Callithrix jacchus: one gene and its partners. The protein of the gene in region 1 interacts with the protein of each later gene in a biochemical or structural test. Links are inferred from orthologs where the notes say so. Each region holds a gene or a part of one and is shown in the gene's direction. Other genes may lie near its edges.

Evidence for each region.
Region 2: the proteins of MPDZ (region 1) and HTR2A form a complex in vitro, tested with the Homo sapiens proteins (2 studies listed by IntAct, with this or other methods). The link is inferred for Callithrix jacchus from reciprocal best matches to the Homo sapiens genes MPDZ and HTR2A.
Region 3: the proteins of MPDZ (region 1) and CYSLTR2 interact in a test that uses a peptide from one of them, tested with the Homo sapiens proteins (2 studies listed by IntAct, with this or other methods). The link is inferred for Callithrix jacchus from reciprocal best matches to the Homo sapiens genes MPDZ and CYSLTR2.
Region 4: the proteins of MPDZ (region 1) and HTR2C form a complex in vitro, tested with the Homo sapiens proteins (3 studies listed by BioGRID and IntAct, with this or other methods). The link is inferred for Callithrix jacchus from reciprocal best matches to the Homo sapiens genes MPDZ and HTR2C.

The regions. Positions count from the first base shown.
Region 1 is NC_133502.1:119,759,689-119,767,472, reverse strand, and holds part of MPDZ (multiple PDZ domain protein), read left to right. Parts: intron 1-2,119; coding exon 2,120-2,329; intron 2,330-3,003; coding exon 3,004-3,143; intron 3,144-4,275; coding exon 4,276-4,489; intron 4,490-5,214; coding exon 5,215-5,343; intron 5,344-7,784. UniProt on the Homo sapiens protein: Member of the NMDAR signaling complex that may play a role in control of AMPAR potentiation and synaptic plasticity in excitatory synapses. Promotes clustering of HT2RC at the cell surface.
Region 2 is NC_133502.1:69,161,810-69,169,593, forward strand, and holds part of HTR2A (5-hydroxytryptamine receptor 2A), read left to right. Parts: coding exon 1-95; intron 96-2,991; coding exon 2,992-3,192; intron 3,193-7,784. UniProt on the Homo sapiens protein: G-protein coupled receptor for 5-hydroxytryptamine (serotonin).
Region 3 is NC_133502.1:67,302,390-67,310,707, reverse strand, and holds the start of CYSLTR2 (cysteinyl leukotriene receptor 2), read left to right. Parts: upstream 1-3,335; 5' UTR 3,336-3,575; intron 3,576-6,854; exon of another isoform or gene 6,855-6,982; 5' UTR 6,983-7,185; intron 7,186-8,318. UniProt on the Homo sapiens protein: Receptor for cysteinyl leukotrienes. The response is mediated via a G-protein that activates a phosphatidylinositol-calcium second messenger system.
Region 4 is NC_133524.1:110,814,872-110,823,140, forward strand, and holds the start of HTR2C (5-hydroxytryptamine receptor 2C), read left to right. Parts: upstream 1-2,754; 5' UTR 2,755-3,317; intron 3,318-8,269. UniProt on the Homo sapiens protein: G-protein coupled receptor for 5-hydroxytryptamine (serotonin).

The DNA.
Region 1 (7,784 bases):
AAAGAAGTATGTGGATATTTGGGGAAGGATATAGCTGTCTGGTAGAGTGAACAGCTTGGCACTTTGAGGCACAGTGAGGCAGGGAGCACAACTGGAGCTTAGTGGGTAAGGGAAGGGATAGACTGCTAGGAGATGAGGTCAGAGAGTGACCCAAAAACATCATTGAAGTAAGCTTTCTGATATGTAATTATAGATAAAAAGTCACATTCCAGGCATCCAGCATAATTATGAAATTAGGATTGACTGCATTGCTTTATCTACTATTTAGATTTAACTTCAAACTCTTTGTAATAGGCACACACAAATAATTATAGAATCATTTCCCAGAGTGGGATGATCTTTTCTATTGTTACATGTGTCATTGTACTTAGAGCTAGCCAGACAGCATAGTTTGAGGGCACAGTCCTCCAGACTGCTAGTGCTGCCCCATACATCTGAGACCAACTGCAGTGAGTTAGGGTCCAGCTACAAAGTTAAAGGTATAGGGATACACAAAACCACCCTCACTTCTGACATCAGCTGCAAGTTTGCAAGGTTCCCCTAGCCCTAGCCACCTTGAGGTTTCATAATTCACTATAAGGTCTTAGAGAATTCTCTGAAATCTGTTATACTCATGATTATGATCTATTGTAGGGAAAGGATGCAATTAAGGGTCAGCCAAACAAAGAGATGCGTAGTGCAGATTATGGGCGGATTCCCAACTGGAAGCTTTCATTTTCCTGGGAAAGTATAACTTTGCCAGAATTCATGTGGGACAATATGTAGAGCGTACAGCCATGTGTCATTAGGTGATTGCATCCTTGTACAAACATCATAGGGTATACTTACACAAACTTAAGTGGTATAGCCTCCCACACAACTAGACTATATGGTATTGTTTCTAGGCTACCAACCTGTATAGGATGCTATATGGAGTACCTTATGTAGTTGTAGCACAATGGTAATTATCTGTGTGACTACAGAAAAAGCGCAGTAAATATATGGTTAAAAGATAAACAATGGAACACCTATATAGGACACACTTACCATGAATGGACCCTGCAGGCCTGGAAGTTATTGTAGGTGAATCAGTGAATGAGTGGTGAGTGAATGTGAAGGCCTAGGACATTACGGTGCACCACCAGATAGCCAGTGTATCTAGTATGCTATAGATAGCCAATGTAATGTTTAAGTTTTTGGTAACTTTGGTAACTTAATGAGTTTCCTGTTTTGTTTTTAAGAACAGGTAACAAACTCTTATGTATAGAGTTTATACATAACTTAATAAATACTGTACACTTAGGCTATACTACATTTACAAAAACGTTTGTTTCTTCAATAATAAATTAACCTTATTTTATTGTAACATTTTGCTTTATAAAGTTTTAATTTTTTAAAACTTTTGACTCTCATAATAGCACTTAGGTTAAAGTGCAAACACATGTAGAAATGTGTTTGACTGTGTTGCAAACCCAGGAATGTTACCTCATCTTGGTGTTCGAATTATTTTATTTTACTTTAAGTTCTGGGATACATTTGCAGAATGTGTAGGTTTGTTACATAGGTATACACGTGTCATAGTGGTTTGTTGCACCCATCAACCTGTCATCTATATTAGGTATTTCTCCTAATGCTATGCCTCCCCTAAAGAATTTTTTATTGGGGTGTTATTTCATAGGTGTGATTGATTGATTGTCCTGCCCACATGACTAAAATCTGACTCAGAGTTTGGGCTTATATCTGTGGCCCACCATGAAGAAGAAAGACACCCCATCACTCAGGAAATTCTGAGAGTTTAGAGGTTACTTCATGGGATCTGGGGACAAAAAAAAATGTTTGTGTGGATGTATATATTTATGTGTGTGTTTTAATGAGTACCCTGAAATTCAACCCTGGAGGTAATTGGTTTTTTTAATTTTCCCATCTAATAAATGGTGCTGCATTGAACATTTAGTGCTGCACACACATCTTTATTATCCTAACGTTTATCCTTGAAATAAATTTCCTAAAATAGAATTGCTGGATCAAAGGATTTGGACATTTTGAAATTTCATATGTATGTACTTATACCCTTGGGATATTTTCTATGCAATAGTTTATGGAATGTCAAAATTCTTAATAATCTCTGTATTACTCTTAGGTAAATATTTCGACTTCAGCAACTTCGAATACTGAATATGCCCACATTCCTCATCTCAGCCCAGCTGTGATTCCTACTCTGCAAAATGAATCGTTTTTATTATCCCCAAACAATGGGAATCTGGAAGCACTTACAGGATCTGGTATTCTACACATTAATGGGAAACCTGCTTGTGATGAATTTGATCAGCTTATCAAAAATATGGCCCAGGTAAGAACATTTCTTTCTGTTAGTTATTGTAATACCTGAAATAAGTTAAGAATGTGATCAAGTTGTGGATAATTTGAAGAATATAGTGATATTTATAACATCTGAAAAAATTGGAACAAAAAGGAAGTCAATTTTGTGGGAGTTTAGATGGTTCAGAGTTTTTCAATTATAGTTTCCTTATCACCATTTAAATTTGAGTATTATATGTTGTGTTATAGAAATTGTTCTTCAGGATAAAGTGCTAACAATGACCTTGGAAAAATTTTTTTTCATTTCTTTTTTTTTTTTTAACAAAGAAATGATTCTAATAAGATGACTGTTGTGCATCATTAGTTTTTAATTTAAGTTTCTTTTGAGATGTATCTTGCTCTGTCATCCACACTAGAGTTCAGTGTTGTGATCATAGCTTACTACAGCCCCAAACTCCTGGGCTTGGGATTCTCCTGCCTCAGCCTCCTGAGTACGTAGGACTATAGATGTGTACCACCACACTCAGCTGAGTTTTATTTTATTTTTTATAGAGATGGGGTCACATTATGTTGCCAGTCTGGTCTCTAACTCCTGGCTTCAAGTAATCTTCCCACCTTGGCCTCCCAAAGTGCTGGGATTACGGGCGTGAACCACCATGCATGGCCTGGCTTTTAATTTTATTTATTTCTTTGTTTTCTAAACAGGGTCGCCATGTAGAAGTTTTTGAGCTCCTCAAACCTCCATCTGGAGGCCTTGGGTTTAGTGTTGTGGGACTAAGAAGTGAAAACAGAGGAGAACTGGGAATATTTGTACAAGAGATTCAAGAGGGCAGTGTTGCACATAGGTGAGATGGTCACAGGATCTTCTTTTTGATAGCCATTCTGAAGGTTTTGGTCATTATGTGAGAATTTAGAAAAATAATAATGAATAGAAACAAACAAAAAATTGAATATAATGTTATTAACCAGTTTTTACAAGTCATTAACATTGTGATAAAAATAACAAGTCCTTTGAAGTGAGAGTAGCTTTTAAATATAGTCATAACTTGTTTTGATAAGGAAAGAAAAATTTGAGGATAACATTATTTTCATTTTTAATTAAATGAGCTCTTTTTGATTAGATTTTAAAAATTACTATACTAGAAATGATCCATAATAAATTGAGCTGCATATTATTTATATACCAAAAGCAACAATTTATTACAGTTGTCCCTCATTATCCATGGGGAATTGGTTCCAGGACTCCTGCAGGTACTAATAGCTGCAGATGCTCAAGTCCTTTATATAAAATGGTGTAGTATTTGTACGTAACCTGTGCATATCCTCCTGTATATTTCAAATCGTCTTTATATAACTTATAATGCCTAACACAATGTAAATCCTATGTAAATATTAATAGTCATACTGTATTTAAAAATTTTGTATGATTTTTTATTATTGTGTTATTTTTTCTGATTATATTTGATCCCCAGTTGGTTGAATTTATGGATGTGGAAACCATGGATATAGAGGACCAACTCTCTATGTATATCCACTTTCATTTTTAGAAGATAGGAATATCCAAGATGTAATGTAGGTTGAATGGGTGGCTGAAATAAAGAATGCTTTTATATGGAAGGGGCTGAGTAGGAGTAGCAGTGGAATAACCTTACAAGAATTGCTGACCTGCAGCCAAAGCATATTATTTTAAAGTAGAACTGCAGGAAAAAGATTAAAAAATGTGAGAATTGATGGGGAGAAATGCCAGATACAGGTATTGGGGAGGAAGGCAGCAAATCACACTGCCATGTGTGTACCTATGCAACAATCTTGTTCTTCACATGTACCCCAAAACCTAAAATGCAATAAAGAAAAAAGAAAAAAAAAGTGTGAGAATTAAAAACAGGATTAAAAATGACTTGAACATGCATGTCCAAGAAGCTGTCATTTCCTTGAGAACTCTCAGATGTCTTTTATTCTCCTTTTCATTCTTGATAGAGATGGAAGATTGAAAGAAACTGATCAAATTCTTGCTATCAATGGACAGGCTCTTGATCAGACGATTACACATCAGCAGGCTATCAGCATCCTGCAGAAAGCCAAAGATACTGTCCAACTAGTTATTGCCAGAGGCTCATTGCCTCAGCTTATCAGCCCCATAGTTTCCCGTTCCCCATCTGCAGCCAGCACAATTTCAGCTCACTCTAATCCGGTGAGTACCTACAATTTTCAAAAGGAACAGAACATATTTTTCGAGTTCTTTTTGGTTATCTCCAAGTTTCTAATTTGTGTAGGTTCTTTGCATTTCTTGAGTTTTTGTGTAACTATTCTTTCATCTTTCCTTAGCCTGGAATATTTGCCTTTACGTATGATAAAGCTTCTAGGTTCTAAAACAACCATTACTTTTCTTTGTGTAGTTTTTTCTTTGATAGCATTCCTTAAAAATGAAAAATGTAGTCTTTTAACAAAATTGACTTTATCTGTAGACAGGTACAATCTTGATTTTGCTTTAAAAATTATACAATTATATTGTTACAGTTAGCTGTCAGTGACTTTAAGAAGTCATCTAATTTGGCATCCTGCCTCAAGGCAGGTTTATGCGAAGACATTCTTAACATGTGACCTTCCTTTTTCCTTGATCTTTTTCTTTTTTTTTGAGAAGTTCTACAGACGATCTTGCAAATCAGTGTCTGTCTTTAACTGGTGAAATGAAATCATTATGATGATACATTGATAATTTCAAGAATGGTTCTATCCATAGCATTACATTCTGTTGAAAGGCAAGTATACCAAATGAAAGGGACATTGTTAGGGCTCATTTTTATGTCTGAATTTAATTATTTAATATTAACCAAATAATAATCACAAAAATTTCTACTGTAATATAAAAAGTTCTTTGCAAATTTCTACAAATTCATATATGAGCTTTGTTTGTAGGTTCACTGGCAACATGTGGAAACTATTGAATTGGTGAATGATGGATCTGGTTTGGGATTTGGCATCATAGGAGGAAAAGCAACTGGTGTGATAGTAAAAACCATTCTGCCTGGAGGAGTAGCTGATCAGGTAGGCTACACAATAGATCTTTTATGCTAGTTTATCAAATAATATGGCCACATCTTTCACATTTTTTGTTAGAGAGAAAAAACTATGGCCTTAGATAATGCCAAAGAAACTGAGTTAGAATCTTTCATTTTATTGAGTATCCCTGAAGTGTTGTCTTAGACCTGGGGGAGGAATACTTTAGAAAAGGTATTAAGTTATAGTTTTAAACAATGGGCTTTAACACTTTTGAACCTCAGACTAAAGCCAGGGTTATGGATTTGATAATTGTGGATGTAGCTACTATTATTATTTATTACATTTTAGGTTTTGGGGTACATGTGCAGAACATGCAAGATAGTTGCATAGGTACACATGTGGCAGTGTGATTTGCTGTCTTCCTCCCCTTCACTCACATTTGGCATTTCTCCCCATGCTATCCCTCCCTAGCTCCCCACTGCTGTCCCTCCCCTATTCCCCCAAATAGACCCCAGTGTGTAGTGCTCCCCTCCCTGTGTCCATGTGTTCTCATTGTTCATCACCCACCTGTGAGTGAGAACATGCTGTATTTCATTTTCTCTTCTTGTGTCAGTTTGCTGAGAATGATGTTCTCCAGATTCATCCATGTCCCTACAAAGGACACGGACTCATCATTTTTGATTGCTGCATAATATTCCATGGTATATATGTGCCACAATTTCCCTGTCCAGTCTATCATCGATGGGGATTTGGGTTGGTTCCAGGTCTTTGCTATTGTAAACAGTGCTGCAATGAACATTTGTGTGCATGTGTCCTTATAGTAGAACGATTTATAGTCCTTTGGATATATACCCAGTAATGGGATTGCTGGGTCAAATGGAATTTCTATTTCTAGGTCCTTGAGGAATCACCACACTGTCTTCCACAATTGTTGAACTAATACACTCCCACCAGCAGTATAAAAGTGTTCCTTTTTCTCCACGTCCTCTCCAGCATCTGTTGTCTCCAGATTTTTTGATGATCGCCTTTCTAACTGGCGTGAGATGGTATCTCAATGTAGTTTTGATTTGAATTTCTCTAATGACCAGTGATGATGAGCATTTTTTCATATGTTTGTTGGCCTCATATATGTCTTCTTTCGTAAAGTGTCTGTTCATATCCTTTGCCCATTTTTGAATGGGCTTGTTAGTTTTTTTCTTGTAAATCTGTATGAGTTCTTGTAAATTCTGGATATCAGCCCTTTGTCAGATGGGTCAACTGCAAAAATTTTTTCCCATTCTGTTGGTTGCCGATTCACTCTAGTGACTGTTTCTTTTGCCGTGCAGAAGCTGTGGAGTTTGATTAGGTCCCATTTGTCTATTTTGGCTTTTGTTGCCAATGCTTTTGGTGTTTTGTTCATGAAGTCCTTGCCTACTCCTATGTCCTCAATGGTTTTACCTAGATTTTCTTCTAGGGTTTTTATGGTGCCAGGTCTTATGTTTAAATCTTTAATCCATCTGGAGTTAATTTTAGTGTAAGGTGTCAGGAAGGGGTCCAGTTTCTGCTTTCTGCACATGGCTAGCCAGTTTTCCCAACACCATTTATTAAACAGGGAATCCTTGCCCCATTGCTTGTTTTTCTCAGGTTTATCAAAGATTGTATGGTTGTAGATATGCTGTGTTGCCTCCAATGCCTCTGTTCTGTTCCATTGGTCTACATCTCTGTTTTGGTACCAGTACCATGCTGTTTTGATTACTGTAGCCTTGTAGTATAGTTTGAAGTCCAGTAGTGTGATGCCTCCTGCTGTGTTCTTTTTGCTTGGAATTGACTTTGCTATGTGGGCTCTCTTTTGGTTCCATATGAAGTTCATGGTGGTTTTTTCCAGTTCTGTGAAGAAAGTCAATGGTAGCTTGATGGGGATAGCATTGAGTCTGTAAATTACTTTGGGCAGTATAGCCATTTTCACGATATTGATTCTTTCTAATCACGAACATGGAATGTTTCTCCCTCTGTTTGTGTCCTCCCTTATTTCGTTGAGCAGTGGTTTGCAGTTTTCCTTGAAGAGGTCCCTTACGTTCCTTGTTGATTATATTTCTAGGTATTTTATTCTCTTTGAAGCAATTGTGAATGGCAGTTTGTTCTTGATTTGGCTCTCTTTAAGTCTGTTATGGGTGCATAAGAATGCTTGTGATTTTTGCAAATTGATTTTATATCCTGAGACTTTGCTGAAGTTGCTTATCAGTTTCAGGAGTTTTTGGGCTGAGACGATGGGGTCTTCTAGATATACTATCATGACGTCTGCAAATAGAGACAATTTGGCTTCCTCCTTTCCGATTTGAATACCCTTTATTTCTTTTTCTTGCTTGATTGCTCTGGCTAGAACTTCCAGTACTATATTGAATAGGAGTGGTGAGAGAGGGCATCCTTTTCTAGTGCCAGATTTTAAAGGGAATGCTTCCAGTTTTTGCCCATTCAGTATGATATTGGCTGTTGGTTTGTTTTAAATA
Region 2 (7,784 bases), about 51 Mb from region 1:
GAATGCCACCAACTATTTCCTGATGTCACTTGCCATAGCTGATATGCTGCTGGGTTTCCTTGTCATGCCCGTGTCCATGTTAACCATCCTGTATGGTGAGTGGCGTTAGTTTCCCAGCTGTACCCACGCTGGTAATAAAGAGCATGTGCATGCCATCAGCAGATGAGATGGGGCCCAGGGGTCAAACTCTAAATAGAAGGCTTTGTTTATAGACTAGGGTCTACCACGTTACTTCTATTTTCCTCTTAAAATGAGATTTCACATAAAAATCCGACAGCCTATTACCTGTGATCACTGGAGAGTTTTGTGCTTTAAAACATGTACATTTCATGTAGAAGTTTTTATAAATTGCCCCGATACAGTCATAAAGCAGTAACTTACCCGTCATTCTGAATCTACTTGATTTTTGCCCCTTTATATATCCCAACCAATATTCCAGCCTTCAGGACAGAACAGTTTTTTATCTTTGTCACACAGTTTCCAGCACTGCTAATGGAGTGGTAAAGCCTTCCCAATTACCTTGGAACATTTGCAGGGAGAACATTAGTGGTGCAGTAGGTTTTATGTTAAAATATGCAGAGTCTCCATTAGAATAAATGAATTACTCCAGTTTTAATTGTTCCCTGCCCAGAGAAGCTAATTTGGAAATGTGCCTTTGAATTATATCCTCAACTCTTTAAAAATGCATATGCATAAACTCCTCCAGTCTGGTTTGGAGGAGGGTGGGAAGCGAATGGGAAGAGATTAATCTTGCTTTCTTCTCAACAGAGTTTGAAACAGTCAAACCTCCCAGCAAGGGAGCAGAATGTGACCTTCTTTCCAAATTATGAGTAATACAGCCAGACATCTCCTTAAAAGAGAAGGAGACTATTGGGACTGGTGAAACAGGTGCAAGCAGCAGTTACCCAGGTCTCAGAGACAGGTTACGATAGCTATCTTTCAGGGAAAACTTTTTGGCCAAGTCTTAGGGCTAAGATTAAAAATCATCAAGCCAGCCCTGGAGAGTGTAAGGAAGGAAGGCGGTATGCAAGGGCGAGCAGGTACCAGTATGCACAAGGCTGCTAATGCTCAGTCCAAGTCCAGCCTCGCTTGACCATTTAAATGCCACACCAGAATGATTTCATTAAATTCGCCTGTTCTTTCCTGGGCGTCCCGGGAAGGTTCTTGCTTCCTAAACCTCCTCCCCTAGGGGGCAAACTCCAGTGGGGGTGGGAGGAGTGACAGAGCAGGAACCTAAACAGCGGCTGGAGGGTGGGATGACCCGCGGCGCCATCCGCTCGGGGAGCAAGGACGCCCCCTGGCGGTGGCCGCTCAGCGTGCAGCCTGTTCCCTCCGGAGCCCCGCCCCTCCCTGGGCTACTACTTCCACCACCCCCAGCCCACGGGGCGTGGGGCATGGGGCGTGGGACTTCTCCCACAAGGAAATGCCCTCTCCTTATCCTGCCGCGGACATACAGACTGAGGCCTGGGCCCACTCCTTGTATAGAAAACCCCTCTGGGGGCCAACATCTGTTCCGAATAGACAGAGCTTGGCTTCCCCCATCAGGCGCTGCAAAGAAAAGGCTTTCGTTAGTTCAAGCGCTTTGCAAATAATTCAAGTGAACGGTTGTAAATTAGACTTGTACCTATGCTCTTTACTTGTCTAAATATCCCTCGCGGCATTTTGGTAGAGAGTATACGTTTGGTTGGAGAGTTTGTTCGGCTTTATGTGTCTGTAACAAGAAAAGTAGACTTTAAAATTTTCCTTCTCACATGCAGACAGATCACAGTATAAGCAACTTCGCTGCTTATACTGTGACCAAAACTAATTAAGGTTTACATAACTGCTTGATCCCCCTCCAAAACACAAAACCAGGACACTTTGCTTATGTCCATAAGGCAGTCCAATCCTCCTAATGTAGCAGGTGACCTGCACTGTCTCTTACACTGGAATTGTCTGGGGAGCTTTGCAAACGCTTTGACATTTCATGTCTACCTCAGTCACACACGCCCACCTCCAGACATGATTTAATTGGGCTGGGTTTGGCATGGGCATCAGGACCTTCTCTAAAGCTCTCCGGGTGATTCTGATGTGTAGCCAGGGGTGAGAGCCACCGTCCTAAAGCAGCGGTTCGCAAAGCGCTGTCTCTGGACGTGCAGCATCAGCATCACCCGGGAGCTTGCTAATTCAAATGCAAATTCTACAGTCTGCTCCAGACGAACTGCATCCGAGCCTCTGGAGGGAGGTCCAGCAATGCGTGTTTTAAGAGGTGTGGGAGAGTCTGATGCTCACTGAAGTTTGAGAAATGCCTCCCTAAAACAAAGCTCAGAGCAAGGACACCTTCCCTTATTTTTCTTCACCCTTGTCTTCAGCTCTCCCACAGATACCCCAAATTTGAGTTTGGCACCCAAAGCCTTATTAGGTCATTATTTTTCATTTTTACAAATAGACATATTCACAATCTGAATTTTTAATCATTTAGTCACTTGCACCAATGCAATTCATTGCCATCACTGATGGGACTGGATGGCAAAATGTCCATAAGCATCACTGCATGGGACTGGATGGTTATAATGGCCAAGAGGTGAGACCGACCTTAGGGAAATACAATCCAGGTAAATGTGTGAATAAATCCTGACAGTATGGCATGAGAGGTGCTACAGAAGAGGAGCCAAAACACGTCACAACTTTTGACGTAAGTCACTTTAAAAAAAATGTTTTGCCAGGTGTAAGGGGGAAGAAAGAGAACCTTCAAAGAGAGAGAATCCGATTTACCACGCCACACTCCCATAATTCCAGACACTAGAAATGTCCAAAGCCTGTATTCATCAGCCAGTGCTCACATATCATAATTAAGTACAGTTGTTAGTGGCTTTTTTCAAATACGAAAAATATACTGTGTTGCTCTTTGCTACCACCTGTGCCTGTCCCAGAACTGGAAATTGTCATAGGGTAGGGATCCACATGCCCTAGGAGGCATAAGTTTGCTGACACCAACTTTCTGCCTCATAGGATACCGGTGGCCTCTGCCCAGCAAGCTTTGCGCAGTCTGGATTTACCTGGATGTGCTCTTCTCCACGGCCTCCATCATGCACCTCTGCGCCATCTCACTGGACCGCTACGTTGCCATCCAGAATCCCATCCACCACAGCCGCTTCAACTCCAGAACGAAGGCATTTCTGAAAATCATTGCTGTCTGGACTATCTCAGTAGGTAAGTGGGAACATATTTCAGAGTCTCATTCAAAATGACAGTTCGTGATTTCTGAAAAGACTTGTTCCATTTTGTTGTACTGAAACCTGACATCCTCAATCTACTGTTTTGGGTGGTGCAAGATATGATACAACATCATAATTATCAAATTTCGCCTCAGAAAAGAAAATTCTGTTTATATCACTGGTTGACAGCATGAATTTGTATTGCTTTGCACAGGCAAGACTATAAACAGCAGAGCCAAATCAGAAATAATTGTGCTGTTTTCCCCGTTTCTCACTTTCAAGTCCACAACTCTAATTCTTGGGTTTCCCAAAGACCTCAACTTTTATAATCACTGGACTTATGGTCAATGAAAGGATGCAGACCACTCCAATAGAGAAAGAAAGCCTCTGAGCTCTAAAGAAAGGTACTATGTGCTGCAGCATGGAGGGAAAAGCCGAGGCCAGAGGAAAGTGCCAGAATCTGCTTAGGGGCAAGGCTGCTTTTCAGTCCACCCTAGTGCCTTTATAGACCATCCTCCTTTGATGATACCACACACCAAAGGATTTCATCTTGCTTCTGTTAGATTATATACATTCATCTCTTACCAGTACTGATCTTGTGACTTCATATACCCAACATCAGAAAAGCGAAGGTAATGAAAGCTAAGGGGGCAGCTCCCAGGCAGTGGAGTCAATTGTACCTGTCAACCTCGCCAGCTTGGTTGGTAACGAAAGAGTCTCTAGATTCAGTGGAATAACAGTACTAATAATAAGAGCAAACACAACAATATAGCATCTTGTATTTTTTAGCTCCCATTGCTTACTTTGCCACTAGCAATGGGAACTAATATGCAATTTGGAGAGTAGTCAGCTCCATCTTACAGATGAGGAAACTGGGATTCAAAAAGCAAAATGAGCTGTGCAAAGCCCCACAGCCAGTAAGTAGCACAGTGAGGATTTTGTTGAATCCTGATGGGAACATCTGATAGAAACACTAACAAATCACACTTGTGTCACTTTCAAATGTTTAAAGTCTTACCTACTTTCTATTTTAAACTTCCCATTGCCGTTTGAGGTAGAAGATTCTATGATGCTTATTTGATTAGCTAGGGAACCAGACTGCAGAAGTATTGCAGCTTACGGGGTCATACCTTCAGCTTGCAGCAGGACTAGGACTCTAAACTTCTAGCACAAAGCCCCGTTCTTTCTGTACCTTCCTTAGGAAACAATTTTTGCTCCAAGAAAATGCTTGCAGTTTCTGGGACTGTGCAAGTTGGACTCATTCTACTAGGAGCCAGAGAGTAAAGGGCCAGTAACCACTCAATCCCTATTACACATAAAATGCCCCAGGGGAGCATTCTGATTTAATTGCCCAGGGCGGGGCCAGGTGATTCTAAGGAGCAGTCAGAGTTGAAGACCACTGAGACAGGTTTTCAGGGTGGTCAGTGTGATAGGTAGAAGAATCAACAATAATGCAAAGGAAGCAAATGAAGCTATTTATTTTCACCCTGATACCCTGTCCTTAGTTTTACTCTAATGTACTGTGCCATTGGTGAGACATGCTGGGAAGATCACCCATCCTTTACCCTCAGCTACACTGACTCCCCATCTCATTCAAGTTTCATGATAGCAACAGTAGTAAGGACAAACAGTTTCTGAGCACTGAGTACAGACCCAGTAGTATACAAAGCACCTTAAAGAAAATGAGCTGCAGAGAACTCAGTTGCACAGGACGATATTACTTATAATCAGGAGTCATTATGGATTAATCTGAGTCCAAAGCCCATGCTCTTTCCACTACTCAAAAGATAATCTGCCTCTGGCTCTTTCTGGCTATCACCACAGGAGGCAAGCAGGCTGGAATGGTTGAGGTGGTCCTGGGCAGGGGTCATCATTCATTGGCCAATCTTTTAATGTGCATCTACTATGTGCTTGGCACTGGATAGACCAAGATGAAAAAGATATGCATTCAAAGATCTCTCACAGTGAGATAGGAGAAGACAAATAAGGAAACAAAAGAGAAAAAAAAACTTACATCAAATCTATGCTAGAAATCTCTGAGGTGTGTGCCCTGAGGAGGTGACAAGTGGAAAATGTAAAAAGGAAAAAGGCAGATCTAATGAAGGACCTTGAGCACAAATATTCTCTTGAGTTTTCTTCTAGTGTTTCTGTTTTGATTATTTTGTTGCTTCAGGTTTAGTTTGCTTTGTGTGTTGTTTCTTTTAATTTGGATCTTTAGTGTAGCTGGAATTTTAAAATATGATCTAACTTGTTTTCCTCTAGTAGTGACTAAAGCCTTTTCAGACACTATTGATATTTTTTCTTCAAGTTATCGGTATGTTCACTCTTGATAAATTTCTAAATACTGGCTTGCATTCCTGGTATGTTGAGTTCAGATGACAAAGTTGGTTGGTTTATGATTCTTACAATATTTCCTTTTCTAGCTTTAAGTGATAGAGAAGTATTACACTTTGTCTTGAAGTATTTAAGCAGAAATTATATATTTTTGAGAGGTTCTGTAGAACTTGGTTCCAAATCTCTCTCATCCTGGTTCCTTTTTAGATAGTATTTTAAGTTACATCTCTAACTTCAATAGTTATTTCATTTACATTTTCTACCTCTTCTTGGGCTATTAGCTGCATACAAAATTTCTCTTTTATATTATTCTTTTATCATTAAATGTCCCACTTTAGTGATGCTTCCTGGCTTAAAATCTACTTGACTTTTTTTGATTGTCATTTTTGGATGTATCTTATTTTATCCAATTTAAAATCAAACCTTTCGTGACTTTAAATATAAAGTGTTAGCCTATAAGCAGCATATAAATTTTTGTTTTTAATTTAATCTTTGTCTGTTAGTTGGAGTATTTAGTCTTTTTACATATAATGTTAACTCATATTTGGGTTTAAAACCATTTGCTTTCCATTTTCCTGTTTGTTCTATATTCTAGTTTCCTTTCATTCTTGCCTTCTTTTGGACTAATCAAGAATTGTCCATTCATCATTCCTCTTTATGAGCTTGTTATCCATTGTTTCAAACTATTTTAGTGATTATCACACTCCACTTAGACTCTAAAACATATTGTTACTTGTAACATTTTTTGGATAATGCAAAAACTTTAGAACTTTTTAACTCCAACTACCCCTGTTGTCTTGTGGGTTTTTTCCCCATTTGCTGTCTGTCTGTTTTAAGCCCATAAGACATTACGGCCATTCTGTTCACTATTTCTCACATATTAGCCCTCTGTTGCTATTCATTGCTTTCTTCATTTTCATGGTTTTGCCTGGATTCCTCATTCCTAAAGAAGTTCCTTTAGAATATCATGTAGTTTTTTCTGTTTTTCTTATTCTAGGCATCTTTATCTTGCTTTCATTTCAAGCACATTTTTGCTCAGTATAGAATTCTAGGCTGACAGTCATCTTTTTTTTCCAGCACTTTCTAGGTAGTAAATTCAACATTTCAAGCTTATATTTTGTTCTTATTTGCAAGAACCCAGCTGTCAGTCTTATTGTTGTTCCTTCAGAACCATCACCTTTTGCCACACCCTGCTGCTTCAGAATGTTTTGTCTCTATTTCAGCAACTTTACCATGATATACTTTGTTGTGAATTAGTTTTGTTTTTATCCTGCATGGTGTATGTACTGATTCTTAAACCTGTGACTTTGGCCACTTTGAGAAAACTCTTGGCCATGATCTTTTCAAATATTGCTTCTGCCCCCATTCTCTCTCTTCTTCATATCTGGGTCTTCAGTTTCATGTATGCTAAATTTTTTACCCAAGTTCTTTATAACTCAAACACTTCTACATGGTTTTTTTTCAACTTTTAAGTTCAGGGGTACATGCGCAGGATGTGCAGGTTTGTTACCAAGGTAAACACGTGACACTGTGGTTTGCTGAACAGAGCAGGTATTAAACCCAGCATCCGTTAGCTGTCTTCCTGATGCTCTCCTTCCCCATACCCACCACAGCAGGCCCCAGTGTGTGTTGACATCTGCCATGTGTCCATGTGTTCTCATCATTCAGCTCCCACATATTAGTGAGAACATGCAATGTCAAACACTTCTACATTTTCTATGTTTTTCTCCTCTTCTTTTCGTTTAGATAGCTTTACTGACTTTTCTTCCATTATTTGTCCTCTCATCAGCTATTTCTAATCTGCTGCAGTACCCATCTCTTGTGTTCCTTAGTCCCTACACTTTTAATTCTAGATTTTTTCATTTAATTTTTTATAGATTCCAGGTTTTTAGAATAATTCTACATGTTTTCATCTATTTTCTTAAATATTAATCACAAGGATCTGGATATCTCTTTTCTGGGTTGTGGGATTACCTAGGGATTTCTCTTTTCTGAATTGTGGTTTTTTTCTCTCCCCATTCTGTCCATTGGTACGCCTGGTAATTTTTTTGAAATTGAGTACTGCATATGCCTGATCATTCTTTTTAATTGAACACTGAACACTGGAAGAAAATTTATGGGTGCTTTGTTGATACTGTCTTTCTCTGGAATGGGGTCTTTTAGTTTTAGCAGCAGTTAAAGTAAGCACAGGTCCCCTTAATCCAATAAGGGATTGAGTTTATTTAAGGCAATATTCTTATAAAAGCCTGTCTA
Region 3 (8,318 bases), about 52 Mb from region 1:
AACTACAAACTTAATGGCTTAAATTAAAGCAACAGAAATCTATTCTCTCACAGTTCTGTAGGGCGGAAATCAGAAATCAAGATGCTAGCAGGGCTACGCTCTCTCTGGAGGCTCTAGGGGTCCTTCATTGCTTCACCAGTTCTAGAGGCTCCAGGTGTTCCTTGGCTTGCAGCTCTAATCACTTCACATGGCCTTCTCCCCTATGTGAGTTTGTTGACACTCCTTTGTCATCTCTCTTACAAGGATACATGTGATTGCATTTTGGGCCCACCTAAAAACACAAAATAAACTCCTTTCCTCAAGATCCTTAATTAACTGCCATTTGTGCCACATAAGATCACATTTACAGAATCCAGGATTTGAATATGGGCATGTCTTTGGTGCCAATGTCTAGCCCACTATACTAGGTAATTCTTTTCTCTGTCTTATCACGGAACAGGCCCTCCTGCACATAAAGTTGGTGGCTTTCTAAATTCCATGAGTTTTCAAATTTTGTTTCCATTCTTCCTCTTTCTTAATGACCTAAATAGAAATATGATTCACGTTGACTTTTTCCTTTGTATTTAATCTTGCACTATGAAAACAAACTTCTGTCTCTGATGCCCTACCAACTTATTAGTGTTTCTGATCTTTTAAAAATCACAGGTGTGTGTTTACAAGAACATACCCTCTAGACTTAAGCTTATGTCTCTAAAAGCCTTGTGGCTGGTACATTAGGGTAATCAGCAAGAAACTAGTCCTGTTTCTCTTCAACTCACTTTGTCAACTGAGAACAAACTTGGAGATCTCCTACAAAACTGGAGTTGATGCTCATCTCTTGATTACTTCTACAGGCCTTTGAGAGTTCCAGAGAAGTTCTCTGTGTGCTCTATACATTAAACATACTGCCATGTTTTCCTTTAAATCATCAAGAGCAGCACATTGGATAATGTGTTTATTCCTTTCTCTGCTCCTTAGGATTATTTTCCTTTTAAAGTCATAGACCCTTCCCCATCTACTCTAAAAGAATGATTTCATGTTCCCTCCTGACACTTCTGGTTAAAATGACACTGCATCTCCTTATATCATCTGTCCAAATTGTACAAAGAAAGAGTGTCTACTGGGCACTCTTCAGCAAAGTTACTGCCTATAAAGTGCTTAGAGATCCCAGGCTGTCCTAAAAAATAAAAGAAAGTCTTGAATAGGTTTCTCCTTTCTCTGAGGTTTACAGATTCAGAAGCAGGGGGTGGGGAGAAAGCATTTCCCTCATTATCTTTCGAATATTCTTGAAGCATATTCTGCTCCCTGAAAACCCGATATTCAAAAGTTAGCTCTGGGAGTAGGATTGATTTTTTTCACTTTGTTTATTCTAAATTTTTCAATTAATTAATTTTCTTTTTCTGAGGCAGTCTTGCTCTGACACCTAGGCTGGAGTGCAATGGTGTGATCCCAGCTCACTGCAGCCACAACCTCTCCATCTCAAGCAATCCTCACACTTCAGCTTCCTGAGTAGTAGAGACTATAGACACATGCCACCATGCCCGGCTAATGTTTTTTTTTTTTTTTTTTTTAAGAGATGGGGTCTTACTGTGTTGCTCAGGCTGCTCTCAAACTCTGGGACTCAAGAGATTTTCCTGCCTCAGCTTCCCAAAGTGCTGGGGTTATAGCAGTGAGCCACTGCATCCAGCCCACTTTATTTATTTTAATGAGATGAACATTAGTCAATTAATTAAGTTTTTTTTATACAGTCTCACTCAGTTGCCCAGGCTGGAGTGCAGTGGCGCAATCTTGGCTCACTGCAACCTCCACCTTCTGGGTTCAAGTGATTCTCCTGCCTCAGCCTCCCAAGTAGCTGGGACTACAGGCATGCACCACCACGCCCAGCTAATTTTTGTATTTTAAGTAGATATGGAGTTTTACCATATTGGCCAGGTGGGTTTCAATCTCCTGACCTCATGATTTGCCTATCTTGGCCTCTCAAAGTGCTGGAATTACAGGTGTGAGCCACTGTGCCAGCCAATTGGGCTTTTATTGGAGGAGAATGAATATCTATGGTGATTGCTTGTAGAATTAAATGTTGTTTCAAGCTTTTTGCCCCCTAAAGATGAGAATGATAATATAATATGTGTAGACTGTGAGTTCCGTGAGTTCTAATTGAGATAAATAAAATATTAGAAATAGGATCCCAGGCCCAGGAAGAACCTTGTCTTCAGAGGAGCAACCTTGGTCCCAGCCCCTCTCCACAGCTGCATGAAGAAGCTGCACAGAAAACCCTCACCCTCACCCCCAGTTCTGGAGTGTGAAGGTAAGATCTACATCGTCCTGGTGATAGTCATTGTTGGAGAACTCTGGGACATGCAGGAAATAGATCCAGGGCCTCTTCCTTTTTATTGACACAGCAGCAGCAGTTTGGAGCTTTCCAGGAAGACCTACTTTTTATTTCCCCCAAGTTTCAATATTTGGGGCACTTGTGGGAACTAGAGATGGGGTGAGGTTTGGCTCTTGGCACTAGGCTAGAGTTGGGCTTGAAAGGGATGGGGAAGGGCGCTAGAATCAGTGGTCTTCAGAGTTGAAGGAGATCTTGGGTGAGGGGATAGCAAGAACCAGGGCCTGTCTTTCCCATGGCCATGGGGCAGCAGAAGGCACAAGGAGAACAGCGTATGTAGGGCTGTGTTGGAGATGGTTAGGGAGCTCTCCAGACCCTGCTCTGGGTTCCAGGCCTGGTGTGACAGTGACTAGCTGTGTGCCATGACCACGCTGCTCAACAAGTCTGTGCCTCTGTTTCTTCATGGGTGTCATGAAGGGACTGGACTCCCTGTTTGTTTAGGTCTGTTCAGTTCCAGCGAACGAACTACAAACAAGCAAAAAAACCAAGCCTGCCTTGTTTATTTTCAAGAAAGCATTTGCTAATTTCTTTCCAATACAGCCAGTTCCCTTATTTACCATTTTGTGCTCCTCTCAGGCCCCAAAATAGTGCTTTTTATTTTTAGAGATAAGCAAATAGTTCAGTTTGACTGGAGCATGGGAAGAAAGTGGGAAAGCAACTGATAGGAATAGAACTTGAAAGGAAATCTGGGGTTGGACTATGAAGGCCAAATTACTCCTAGACGTGGGCATAAGAACACATTGTCCTGGTGCCATTCTTTGACCAGAGAGAACTAGCCCCTTGGGACAGAAAAGGGCTGAATGAGGACCAGACACAGATTAGAGCTCTCCCTGATCCTCATCCAACCCCTTTCTTGACCCGAGGGGGCTGGGAGTCTGTGGGGCTAAGGGACACTTCCTTGTTTGTACTGTGCTCTGGATACTTGGGAAGTCCCCAGCCAAATGTCCTCAAATGCTATGAGCTGTTCCCTAGTTGCATCAGAGCATAAAGTTTGTATAGCCCTACGTCCTACAGGTGGCCAAGAGCAGCTGCTTTCAGGCATTGGGGACAAGGACATGAGGGCTAGAATTCCCCATGCCTAAGTGTGGAGCTCCTCATACGTGGGAGGGAGCTGGGAGTGGGAAGAGGACGAGGACAGCTGCAGGCTTTACCAGCTCTTCTGAGGTGGCCACATTCCAGCCCAGACCTCAAACACAAAGGAGTCTGAGAAGTGAGTACAAATGTATAGTATGGGGATCTGACAATTTAGAAATGAATATTTAATGCTACAAAAAAGTAGTGATGGTGGGCAGGGCATGGTGGCTCAGGCCTATAATCCTAGCACTTTGGAAGGGTGAGGTGGGCAGATTAAAAGGTCACGAGTTTGAGACCAGCCTGGCCAATATGGTGAAACCCCGTCTCTACTAAAAATACAAAAATTAGCTGGGCATGGTGGCGCGTGCCTGTAGTCCCCGCTACTCAGGAGGCTGAGGCAGGAGAACTGCTGGAACCCAGGAGGTGGAGGTTGCCGTGAGCTGAGATCGTGCCACTGCACTCCAGCCTGGGCAACAGAGCAAGACTCCATCTCGGGGGAAAAAAAAAAAAGAGTAGTGCTAGTGATAAGCTCTACAAAACAGACTACAGCAGAGTTAGGGGGAGTATATGTGTGGATAACTATTTTAGAAAGGGAGGCCAGTGAAGTCTTGTGGGAGGTAGTGGCCCTTAAGTAGAGAGTTAAGTGGAGTGAGGAAGACAGGGCAAAGGCATCTCAGCACAGGGACTTGGACCAGCAGCAGGGAAGGCCATGTGGCTAGGGTCATACATGCATAAGAAGGGCCAATCAGGTTGGGCTTTTGCAGATCATGGTAAAGATTTTTATTTTGAATAATGTGTGTGCTCCTTTTTACCAGCCATGAATGCTATCCATTTGTTTATGTGATTAACTCATCAAAGTTTATAAAAGTTATTTATTACTCTTTAAGGAAGAGAGGTGTTTATTTTGAGAATCGTGGGAAGTCACTGCAGGGTTTTTAAGCAAGGGAATGAACGATATGACCTGCTCTTTAAAAGCATCACTGTAGCGCAGTAGAGCAGTGAGAGTAGAAACAGGAAAGCAATTAGGGTGTTACTGTAGCGTTCTTTTTCCTTTTTCTTTTCTTTTGAGACAGAGTCTCACCCTGTCCCCCAGGCTAAAATGCAGTGGCACGATCTCGACTCATTGCGACCTCTGCCTCCCGGGTCTAGCAATTCTCCTGCCTCAGCCTCCCAAGTAGCTGTTATTACAGGCACCTGCCACCTTGCCCATCTAATTTTTGTATTTTTAGTAGAGATGAGATTTCACCATCTTGGTCAGCCTGGTCTCAAACTCCTGACCTCAGGTGATCCACGGACCTCAGCCTCCCAAAGTACTGGGATTACAGGCTGTGCCTGGCCCTCTTTTTCTTTTTTTTTTTTTTTGCTTTTAATATTGATGTCAGTATTTCTTTTTTTTTTTTTTTAATTTTTATTTATTTATTTATTTATTTTTTTTTAGGGAAAAAGAGAAAAAGAAGGGGAAAAAAAGAAAAAGAGGGAAAAAGGAATATTACTTCATTCCTAAAATGGGTTTCAATAATGGCCGATCAATATTTTGAGTGTTTAAAGTGGTTAATGCATATTTTATGTGTTTAAAATGGAGACCTCTGTTGTGTTTATTTGTTCTGGTTCTGAGTTCAAGTCCTGGATATCTTATCAATTTGTTGTCTCGTTGAATCTAAATCTCATTATGTGTCTTATGTATCTGGGTGTTAAGATCTCTTATTGTTGTATTAATCCTTTTACCCTTGCATCCTTGTAGCTTTGAAATCTATTTTATTAAGTGTGAGAATTGCAACTCCTGCTTTTTATTTATTTATTTTTGCTCTCCATTTGGTTGGTGAGCTTTTTTCCATCCCCTTGTTTTGAGTCTTTGTATATCTTTAGATATATCGTTAGATTTTGTGGATAATGAATATTTTGTGTGTTTAAAATGGAGAGCCCTATTGAGTTTATTTGTTCTGGATCTTAGTTCCAGTCCCGGATATCGTTATCAATTTTCTGTCTCGTTGAATCTAAATCTCATTATGGGTCTTATGTATCTGGGTGTTAAGATCTCTTATTATTACATTAATCCTTTTATCCTTGTATCCTTGTAGCTTTGAAATCTATTTTGTCAAATGTGAAAATTGCAACTCCTGCTTATTTATTTATTTTTGCTCTCCATTTGGTTGGTACGTTTTTTTTTTTTCCAACCCTTTATTTTGAGTCTATGTATATCTTTGGATATACCGTTAGATTTTGTCTGTATCTTTTGATTGGGAGGTTTGGTCGATTTAAATTTAGGGTTGCTGCCGTTTGATATTAACTGGCTATTTTGTCCTTTCATTGATAAAAATTCTTCTTTATGTTAATGCTCTTTACTTTTTGGTGTATTTTTAGAAAGGGTCATACTGGTTGTTCCTTTCTGTGTATAGTGCTTCTTTTAGAAGTTCTTGTAAAGCAGGCCTGGTGGTAATAAAATCTCTGAGTACTTGCTTGTTCCTAAAAATTTTTATTTTTCCTTCAAATGTAAAGCTTAAATTGGCAGGATATGAAATTCTGGGCTGAAAGTTCTGTTGATTAAGTATATTGAATATTGGCCCCCACTCTCTTCTAGCTTGTAGGGTTTCCGTTGAGAGATCTGCTGTAAGCCTAATAGGCTTACCTTTATGGGTAACTTGATCTTTCTCTCTGGCTGCCCTTAATATTTTCTCCTTCGTTTCGATCTTGGTGAATCTGACGATTATGTGCCTTGGGGTTGGTCTTCTTGAGGAATATCTTTGTGGTGTTCTCTGTATTGCCTGGGGTTGAATAGTGTCCTGCTTTGCTAAATTAGGAAAATTTTCCTGGATAATGTCCTGGAGAGTATTTTCCAGCTTGAATTCATTCTCTCCGTCACATTCAGGTACACCAATCAAGCGTATATTAGGTCTTTTCACATAGTCCCATATTGCTTGGAGACTTTGCTCATTCCTTTTTATCCTTTTTTCTCTATTCTTGTCTTGTTGTGTTGTTTCATTAAGTTGATCTTCGACCTCTGATACCCTTTCTTCTGCTTGATCCATTCGGCTGTTTAAGCTTGTACATGTTTCACTAAGTTCTCGTGTTGTATTTTTCAACTCCATAAGTTCATTTGTATTCCTCTCTATATTGTCTATTCTTTTCAACATTTCATCTAATCTTTTTTCCAAGTTTTTAGTTTCTTTACATTGGGTTAGAACAAGTTCCTTTAACTCCCAGAAGTTTCTTATCATCCACCTTTTAAAGCCTACTTCAGATATTGGAACACAATCCTTTTCCATCAGGGCTTGTTCCGTTACTGATGAGTCCTTTTCCATCAGGGCTTATTCTGCTGCTGATGAGTCCTTTTCCATCAGGGCTTGTTCTGTTGCTGATGGGTTCTGATTTTGAGTATACTCGGCCTTCTTAGGCTGTTTTTTTCCCTTCATTGTAGATGAACCGCCTTTCTAATTAGTTTTCTGAGTCGACGTCCGACTTATTGATTCCCAGTGTTGGGATCCGAGCAACCCACTGTGGCAGCCTAAATAGCAGCGGTAAGACTGATGGTGCTCTTCTGCCCAGGAATCTCTGGTCTGGCTTCCTTCTTGAGTCCGCAACAAGCGGCTCTGACTTCCCAGAGCTCCAAACTCCGGTCAGTAGGGGAAGCAGTCCCGTTGGCTCTGCATGAAGAGCTGCTGCGCCGAGACGCCGGCAAAACCACTGCGGCGGCCACAAGAGTCGTGCTAGCGACCCGTGGGGCTCCTCCACTGGGAATCGGCTGATCGGTGAGTGACGAAAATTTGTCTAAAAGTGTGGCGTCGTCTCGTTCTCTGGGCTTTCACTGGGAGCTACAATCCTGAGCTGTTAGTGGTCGGCCATCTTGGATTGATCTCCCGGCCCTCTTTTTCTTAAGACTTTTAGTTAATTTTTGAAAACTATTTATCTCTAAAAATTGGGGTAAAATATATATGACATAAATGTTACCATTTTAACTGTTTTTTTTTTAAAGTGTACAGTTCAGTGGCATGAAATACATTTACAGTATTTTACAACCATCACCAACATCCATCTCCAGAACTTGTTTCATCTTACAAAACAGTTTTCTTTAAACACCACCTCACTATTTCCCTCTGCTAAAAGATAAACTGCAGCACACTAAGATTTTAAAGACTTTATTGGCGCAGACAGCAATTTATTAATTGGGTAGTGCCAAGGAGTCAAGATGAAGCCTTTTATGGGGTGAATGCAGAAGCAAGCTGAAGAATATTTGATTGGTTAAAGAGCAGTGTGGGGGAGTATTGGCAATATTAAGTCTTCCAATCCATGAATATAGGATGTCTCTCTATTTATTCATGTATTCTTTGTTTTGTTTCATTTGTATATCTTTAATTTCTTTCAGCAATGTTTTGTGCTTTTCAGCATACAGTCTTTCACTTTCTTAGGTGAATTTCTAAGTTTATCTTTAAAGATATTTTTAATTTAAAAAAATTATAACTTTTAATTGGCCAGTAATAATTGCACATATTTATGGGGTACAGTGTGATATTTTGATATATGTATACAATATATAATTAGGGTATTTAGCATATTCACCACCTTAAACATTTGGCATTTATTTTTGAAAATATTCACAGTTTGCTTATCTAGCTATTTGAAAATGTACAATAAATTGTTGTTTATTGCAGTCACCCTACAGTGCTGTAGAACACTACAACTTATTCCTCTTATCTAGATGTCCATCGATCAACTTTTGTGTCTGTTAATCAAACTCTGTTTATCTCTCCCTGCCTCCTCCCATTCCCAGCCTCTGGTAACCACTATTCTACTCTCTACTTCTGTAAGGTCGACTATTTTATCTTCCATTTATGAGTGAGAATATGCAGTATTTATCTTTCTGTTCCTGGCTTATTTCACTTAA
Region 4 (8,269 bases), on another chromosome or scaffold:
GAATATTTGGAAACTGTGTTCCGGAGGGCATTGGGGATTTTCCTCAAACCCGAGGAATTCACTGTAAATAACTCCTCTTTCCAGGGACAATTTCCAAACACCTGAGGAAGGGAAGGGAAAGCAGTGAAAACGCTGCGCTGACTCCCCCCGGCCTCCTTAGGCAGGAGTTCCAGAAAACCTCTCTGGCAACTACAGAGTGACAGAAAGCGCCAGCATGTGCTTGTTTTGAGTTTGCTTCCCCAGTCTTAAAGTGCGCTCAAAATTTCTCCTCACGCTGTATTCTCCGACCTAGTGTTGCCAGAATCTCCAAACTCTGTCGGATCTTGGAGCGCTCGGCCAAGCCGCAGCCTAGAGAACCTGTAGAGGCAGTACGCGCCGCAAATGCCAAGAAAGCGGAGCCTTCGGTCCTGGCCGAACCCGGTACCCGCAGCCTCGCCGCGTACCGCTTCGGCTCAGTCTTACAGACTCCGGGCCGCTCGGCGAGCGCCGCTCAAAGGCGAACTTGCCTGCCTGTTTCTACCCGAACTCCGAAGCCCAGGCAAGCTTTCAGCAAGCCGCGTGGCTAGCTAATTTTCTCACTGCTGCTCCGGGAGCCTTCCCAACCACCAAGTGGGCTTCACCCCTGTCTCTCTCGGCATTTTTGCCTTTGACGAGAAGGAGAGAACAGCCTTAAGAGCAGAGTGTGAGTGTATACACACACACACATATATATAATAAAAACTATTATTACTATTATCTTCATCCTCATAATTGCTATTATCATGGTCCATTTCTCCAAGCCGGTTCCCCCCGGGAGCTGGGAAGCGAGAACAGTTTTTGGTGGATGCTATCTTGCACTCTTTGCTCGGCAGATTTTGCCTTAGCAAACATATCACAGGGATTTGTATTTACATTTTTTGAAGTAATATACATGTCTCAGCCTCTGACAAAATAAATACAAGTCCCGCCAGGAAAGGCAAAACTAAGCACTCCACATTCATAGAGAAAGGGGACACTTGGGGAGTTTTTAAAGATGAGTGCTTAATTATTTAAAGAGAAGACATACGTTTTCTCTTCGATATTTATAAATTACTGTTCGCTACCAAAGCATTTCTAAAGATGAGAGCGTTGTGCAGTCGGTGGACTTGGCAGCGCTGTAGCCGCCACCTGTGCGGCATCATATAGTAGCATTCAACAGATGCTTCAGGAAAACTGCGATGGGTTTTTGCTCTGCGAAACAGAACTTGGGTGTGGACAGTATGTTCAATGTCAAATTAAATTTCAGAGCCTGAATTCAGTGGCGATGGAGGGAATCAGGATTCCCAAAATGCCCCTTTTGGAATAGACCGGACAGTTCCTATCACAAATCTGGAAACGGAGACACAGAGAGAACTAACTGGTCCTAGGGCATCCAGAATAAGGAAGAGGGCCTGACCCTTATCATTGCTCCTACCTACTTCTCCATACCTAACTTTTGGAGCTATTGAGACAAACTTTAGCCTTCAGAACGGCCGGCCGCTCCCACCCCTTTTGCATTCTGCGGGATTAGGACCTCCAAGCCTCCGCAAGGTTTCCCTGCAGCCTCATCTACACAATCGCTGCGCTGCCGTCCGGTCATAAACAGCCAAACTGGAGTCTCTACCTTTTGCTTCGGTCCAGCTACCTCTGACTGGCGAGGAGCCAATCTCTACTTTTCTACACCCTGGTCCTCGGTACCCGGCCGCGGAAACCTTGGCCGTCACCCGGGACCACCACCCCCGCTCGCCCCTTCGTTCCCCCTTAGGAGAGATCTGCTTCTGTCCCCACTCTCAGTGGGATCATCTCCATTACTAAGCTTGGTTTTGGTGCCTCTGAGGCGTCTTGGCCAAGGCAGCCCCGTTCACCTTTCTGCGCTGCCGCTAGGACACGGACACCGCAGGCACCTGCCCGGCGGCGCCTGGGAGCCTTTGAAAAAGAGCTCTGCCTGCCCCGTTGCACTCGGCATCCCAGCAGTTGCCAGAAGAGAGCCTTGTGGCTCAACTCTTGCTACGTTAACTTTGCACTGACAGCCCCCCTCCTCCCTCGCCCTGCAACTGCTGGGCAACCGACTGGCTGTGGGCCCAAGTCCCTGTGCCAGAGAGATAGGTTCAGCCCCTTGGAAACCCGTAAGGGCTGCCCTCAAGGTGTCTTTCTAACGAGGCTTGTAGGGTCTAGAAAGGAACTAAACTGTGCCTTCCTGGGGGTCGAAGGCCAAGATCTTTCCTTTCCCCTTTGGGAATAGAAGAAAGATGAGGAGGCAAGGATGGGGAAGTGGGCCTTATGGCAGGGTTGTGGCCTTTGTGCACTCACCAAATGTTGACCCTGTGAGTGCCTCAGTTGCTACTATTGGAGAAATGGACAAGAGTCGGAACAGAGACCCTTGAAAGGAGTTTCAAAGCTCGGTGAAATTTGCAAGACTTGGAAATACTGTTTGTTGAAATGAAATGTACAGGGTGTGTGTGTGTGTTTGAGGAGGAGTATGCTGTGAATCTTTGAGGGTACCTTCCCTCTCCCTCCATCAGGTGCCATAGCTGATCTTTGTTGCCCCCCACTCTCCAGGCCTAGTGAATTAAGTTAATCATCACCCCCACCCCCACCACGGGGTCTCCCGCCCTCTGCTAGCAGGCTCCAGATGCACTAACAGTCCGGTCCAAACAGGCCCGGGGGCAACGTAATGCTGATCGCTGATTGGCTTCTTTTGGCTCCTCCCCTCATCCCGCGTTTGGCTCAAGAGCGCGGTGCAGATTCACCCGCGCTAGGCAGGCGGTCTGGTGCTCGCTGAGGACGCTTCCTTCCTCAGATGCACCGATTCTGCCTTTGGAGCCGCTGAATTGCTAGCCTTGGCTGCTCCATTGGCCTGCCTTTCCCCTTACCTGCTGATTGCTTATGAACTTTTCTTCTCTCTGTCTGTGCTTCGTTGTCGTCGGAGTCGTCGAGATCGTCGTGGCGCTCGTGTGATGGTCTTCGTCCGTTTAGAGTAGTGTAGTTAGTTAGGGGCCAACGAAGAAGAAAGAAGAAGCGATTAGTGCAGAGATGCTGGAGGTGGTCAGTTACTAAGCTAGAGTAAGATAGTGGAGAGAGAAAAGCCAAACCTAGCCGGGGGGCGCACGGTCGCCTAAAGGAGGTCGACTCGCCGGCGCTTCCCATTGCGCCGAGCTCCCTCCGTTCCTCTCCCTCCGCCGAGGCGTGAGGTTGCGGCGCGCAGCGCAGCGCAGCGCACCGACTGCCGCGGGCTCCGCTGGGCGATTGCAGCCGAGTCCGTTTCTCGTCTAGCTGCCGCCGCGGCGACCGCTGCTTCATCTTCCTCCCGGACGCTAGTGGTAAGTTGGAGCCCTGGGCGGCATTGCTAGCCTAGACCCTAACGATTTGTGGGGGGATGGGGTGGGGAGCGGGGACAGGTCCCGGATGGCTGCAGCCTGCAGGACTGCACTGGCCCTAGTGGAGGTTGTGGGGAGGGACTCTGAACGCGCAAATCGCGTGGAGACTGAGTCTCTGGAAGAAGAGGGGCGATTAGGTTCCAAGGAAGGAGCACTGAAGTCTCGAAGGGGATTGGGAGCGGGGGCTCCAGATGAAGGCGCTGGGCGGAGGCGGGGGTCTAGAAAACCTGGCGCGTGGGAAGCCGAGACTGAAACGGAAGGCGGGGGTGGGGTGTCAGAAGTGAGGAGGGGGAGGAGAGAAAGGAGGGAAACTGAACACAATGTCGCTGAGTAGAGGGTCGGGCTGCGGAAGGTGCAACTGAGTTGGAGGACCGACTACGATGTTAAGAAATCCTACTGCAGGGAAGTGGGAGGGGGCTCAAGGTTTGGGACGGTGCGGATAGAGGGGGAACTAAGGATCCTTTATTATGTTCTCGTTGAAAACCGACCCTGATTTTTCGGAGGGTCTCAGAGAACATCCGTAACTCTGGGGAGATACACACTGCGGATCTGAGTCTCGTTCTAATAACAGCTGTTAGCTGAATTTGAACAGCGCTGCTGATGGTCACCTAAGCTTAAGAGGAGAGGATAAGGGCATCCAGTGAACCTTTTATTATTATTATTAGCTTATCTAAGTCATTTGGTTACAGTTCTATATTTTGAAAAGGATTGCGGAAAAGTCTGCAGCGCTGCCTCTTACTCCTGTCCCTTTACTCAGTTTAACCTGACAAGCATTCTTTACAGGGTACCTCGGAATTGCTAAACATGAGAACAGGTTGCCGTTCCTGATGTCACATAAAGTTCGTCATTGCAAAACGTGTCTGTGTGTCTGTTTCTTTTCTGCGCCATGCCCTTTGCCTTTTGCTTCCTGTTGGGTAGCATGTGACCTAAGGTGACAGACATTTGCATTGTGTTTGAGAACCCTGTATTTTAAGCGACAGCGTTCTTCGACTCAAAATTCAGATAGGGACATTCGGCAGTTAAAAGATACCTAATTTTGTCGGGAATCACTGCTAGTATCGCACAGCTTCTTCATTAATATTTCCCAGTACATGTCCCATCCAAGGAGGCTTCTGATTGCTGAGCCACTAAGTGCATATGCCCCTTACCACATACCTTTTAGGCAGGCTAACCAAGGGACGCTCGTATACAGTTGAGCTAAGATGATGGGTGGGGGGAGATGTGGGGAGAGAAAATGTTGCGCAGTGAGTAACCTCTGAGCTCCCCAGTTTGCAGGCAATTGCGACCTCATACACACAGTAATGATAAAAGATATCTGGGTTCTACAGTTTAATTTTTTCATGAAGAAGTTTACATGCTTATCAGCCATTCTGACAAGCAAAATATGAGTGCAATAGAAACAAGGTGTTACTGTGTAGTTGGCTACATATGTGTAGACAAATCAAAAGGCCAACTGACATGTCCCACAGAAAATGATATATACCGCAATCATTGCATCTCTTCTGCACTACTTATGTCATACTGAATATTGTCTTTTCTGAAGAGTATTATTTCCTTAGCACCTGGTTGTTTTGGAATAATCTACAATCACCCTCCACCCATTCCACCCCACAGGTGGGGGGAAATAAATAATTTTGTCCATATTTTGGGGAGGCAGGTTATAGAATATTTAATTATAGTTTTCATTCCCTAAATAAATTCTTCTGATCCTCTTGGGGAGGGAAGAAAGTATTTGTTTCATAAACATGATTTCTTTCCTAATGGCATCTATCATCTACAGCAAGCCCAACGCAAGTCCTGAAATTCGGAAGGTGGATAAGGTTTGTGATTGCAATGTCGTCAAGGTAGGATTTGGGATGCTTTAGCAACAATAACAGTGTTTTTCTATCTGCATTATCTAGAGAGGGTTATTAACCCTTTCTATGCTTTCTTGAGGGGTTTATCTCCATCTAGAGGTGGCATGGATGACATTGATGACTTTTTCAGATAATGTGGCTTTTGTGCAATATGAATTCATCATAAGTGAGGTGAGAACTGATATTTCTGAGAACCTTCTGGATGCCGTACGTGGATCCAGGACTATTACATATGTATATTACATCATATAGTCTTCATAGCAAGTCTATGAATGACGAAGATATTCTTATCCTCCATTTTTTTGGTGCCATTAGATTTTTCCCCTCAATTTCTCAAGGTATTCTCAAAAATTAATTTAAGGCAAGAGAATAAGAAATATTTATTTATGTTTCCAAGGCTACTTGGGAAGAGCGTGTTTATTTCTGTAGCAATAAAAGTAAAATCTGAAAAGCCTAACCTTCTAATGGATTAGCCCAACATTATAATTGAGTAAACTTCAGTAATTTTACTGTTCCATGTATTTCCTTCAAGGGAATGTCATCCCTCTCCAGCTAAGGGAAACACAAAAATTAAAACAAAATTTGGAGGAGAGATTATCAGTAACCAACATTAAATATCCCTCAGCTGTTCTTATTAAGTTGTTCAAGGTTTGAGACTGAAGGAGGCTGCAGTTTGCTGAGCCCACTGGGAGATAATTAATTCCCAGGTTCTAATGGCTCCTGAAGCTCCAGACGATTTGGCCAGTATTATTAAAGAGCATCTTACCACCTCACTTTCATAGCAATGTAATATCTCACAAAAGCACAATGTATGTGCACTGAGATTATTTTAGTAAAGCATCTGATACGGCTTAGTGTTGTCTAGTGGAAGAACTGCTAAATTATGTCACTCTAGCTGCCTGGGTAGCCATAAGCAAACTAGGAAAACTTCATCATAAATTAAAGTTAATAATATATTATTGTGATATTTAATGTCAATATCATATATAACCCCACGTGATTGTTGTGAAACAGATGGGTATTAAGCACTTTGAAAATTTTAAATTGTTGCACTAAGCAATAATTTATATTATTTATATTAATATTATATATTAATAATATTATTTATTTGTTAGCATTCTAGGCTACCTATGTTATTTTACCTACATATTGTACTGTTGAACCTCAAAAAGAAATCACCAGTCAACAGCCTAATGTGTGTTCAAGTCATGGATCTCTCCAACACTGCCATTCTTCAAGACATTTTAAGAAGGTTTTTTCATATACTGAAAACATTGCTGCAAAACAGTCTAGTCATCTCCATTCTAGACAAATAACATTGAAACCAACCAAGTGGTTAAGTTGCATCATCATTTGGCAAGTCACTAGCAGATTTAATACTAATGCTCACCTACAACAACTCTTTGCCAATCACTTCTGACATTTTAATGCACAAATGACAGAGCGAAGGCAGGATTTCAAATAAGATGTACGTAAGATGGAATTTTAATTCTGTTTTTGTCTCCTTCTACCCGGCATCTCTACTTCAACCTTGATATTTATTCCTCCTCTCAGCTGTGGCTAAGACTGTGCCATCTGCTGTTTCCTAAAATACTTGCTTATCACAGCATTGTACATATAGCTGGCATTTGATACAGTCAACCTTGTTAACTATAGTTAACCTTATTCATAGATGACCACTTACATGGTCTAATTTGAGAGACACTAGAAAGGAATTCTCTATATGCCTGGTCCCTCGACTAGTAGCCTTCATGGTTTTCCATATAACTTGATTCTACATTCAGGAATTTTCCTCTTTAATCTTAGTAGTTGTCTCTTTTAAATACAAGTACCCCCTTGGGTAACATATTGTTATTATTATCTATTAAGAACTATGCATAAATTTATTGAAAGCTATTAGAAAGCCTTTAGTATTGCATTGTCCAATGCAACAGCCACCAGTCATATATGGGTATTTAAATTCAGAGTTGAATTAACATTAGTGGCAGGGTATAGGGGTGAGCTCAATGTAAAAATATGAAGTGAAAACTGAACACCACTGAAACCGAAGACAATGTCAACTAATGTCTATACAAGGGTAGCAATGAATGAATTGACTAGGGTTTCCTTTATTTTTTCATAAAACATAATATATTTTTTAATGCCAAATCTTTTGCAAGTGTATTTTAAATGTATGTATCTCATTTTATCTCAGGAATCAAGATTCACTGAATACTCTTCAAGTATAGCTTCCTGTAATCAAAGTAGTTAGCCCAAGTTAGCAAGTCTTCATAAGACAGATATAAAAGATGATAACAATGGCCAGTATTTATTGACATTTACCATGCACTACACAGTTCTAAGAGGTTTACAGGTATATACTCATATAAGCCTCATGACTACCCCATGAGAAGGTACTACTACTATCCAGTTTGCAGTTAGGGAAACTGAGACATATAAAGAAGTTAATCTGCTCAAACTGAATGAACAAAACCAAGCTTGAAACCAGGCAGTTTTATTCGAGAGGCCGTGCTGTTAAACAACAAACTATTGTCTCTGTTTAGAAATTGGCTAATTTTTCTTTCATACTGTAACAACTGGCCTTTGAACAGAACAAATCTGCATGTGGATGTGAGGATATTAATGGACAATGTCTATTAGTCCTCGATATGCAGCTTGGCAAGGCAATGAGATAGACATGCAACATTTCTTGTGGAGATTCAGCTACCAATAAAGAAGTAGAGCAAAGGAGAAAGTGCTGTTAATGCTGAGAGACTGAGGGACAAGAAGCTGAGTGAAGCTCAGGGGAGTTACAGAGATAATACTAAGACAGAAATGAAGTCAGGGAAATAATGCTATTGTATGTAGAGATGACTAGATAGGCAGATGCTACTACTGTGAGTTGGACTCACAGGTTTCTACTACATGTAACACCACAACAAAGGCCATTCATATTTGGTCTTTTACGTAAGACTGCCTACTTGAAATTCAAGCAGTAAAATAGAAGCCCTGGATGTCTAAGACTGAGTGTTAGAAGGATCATTAAAAATCATTTATCTC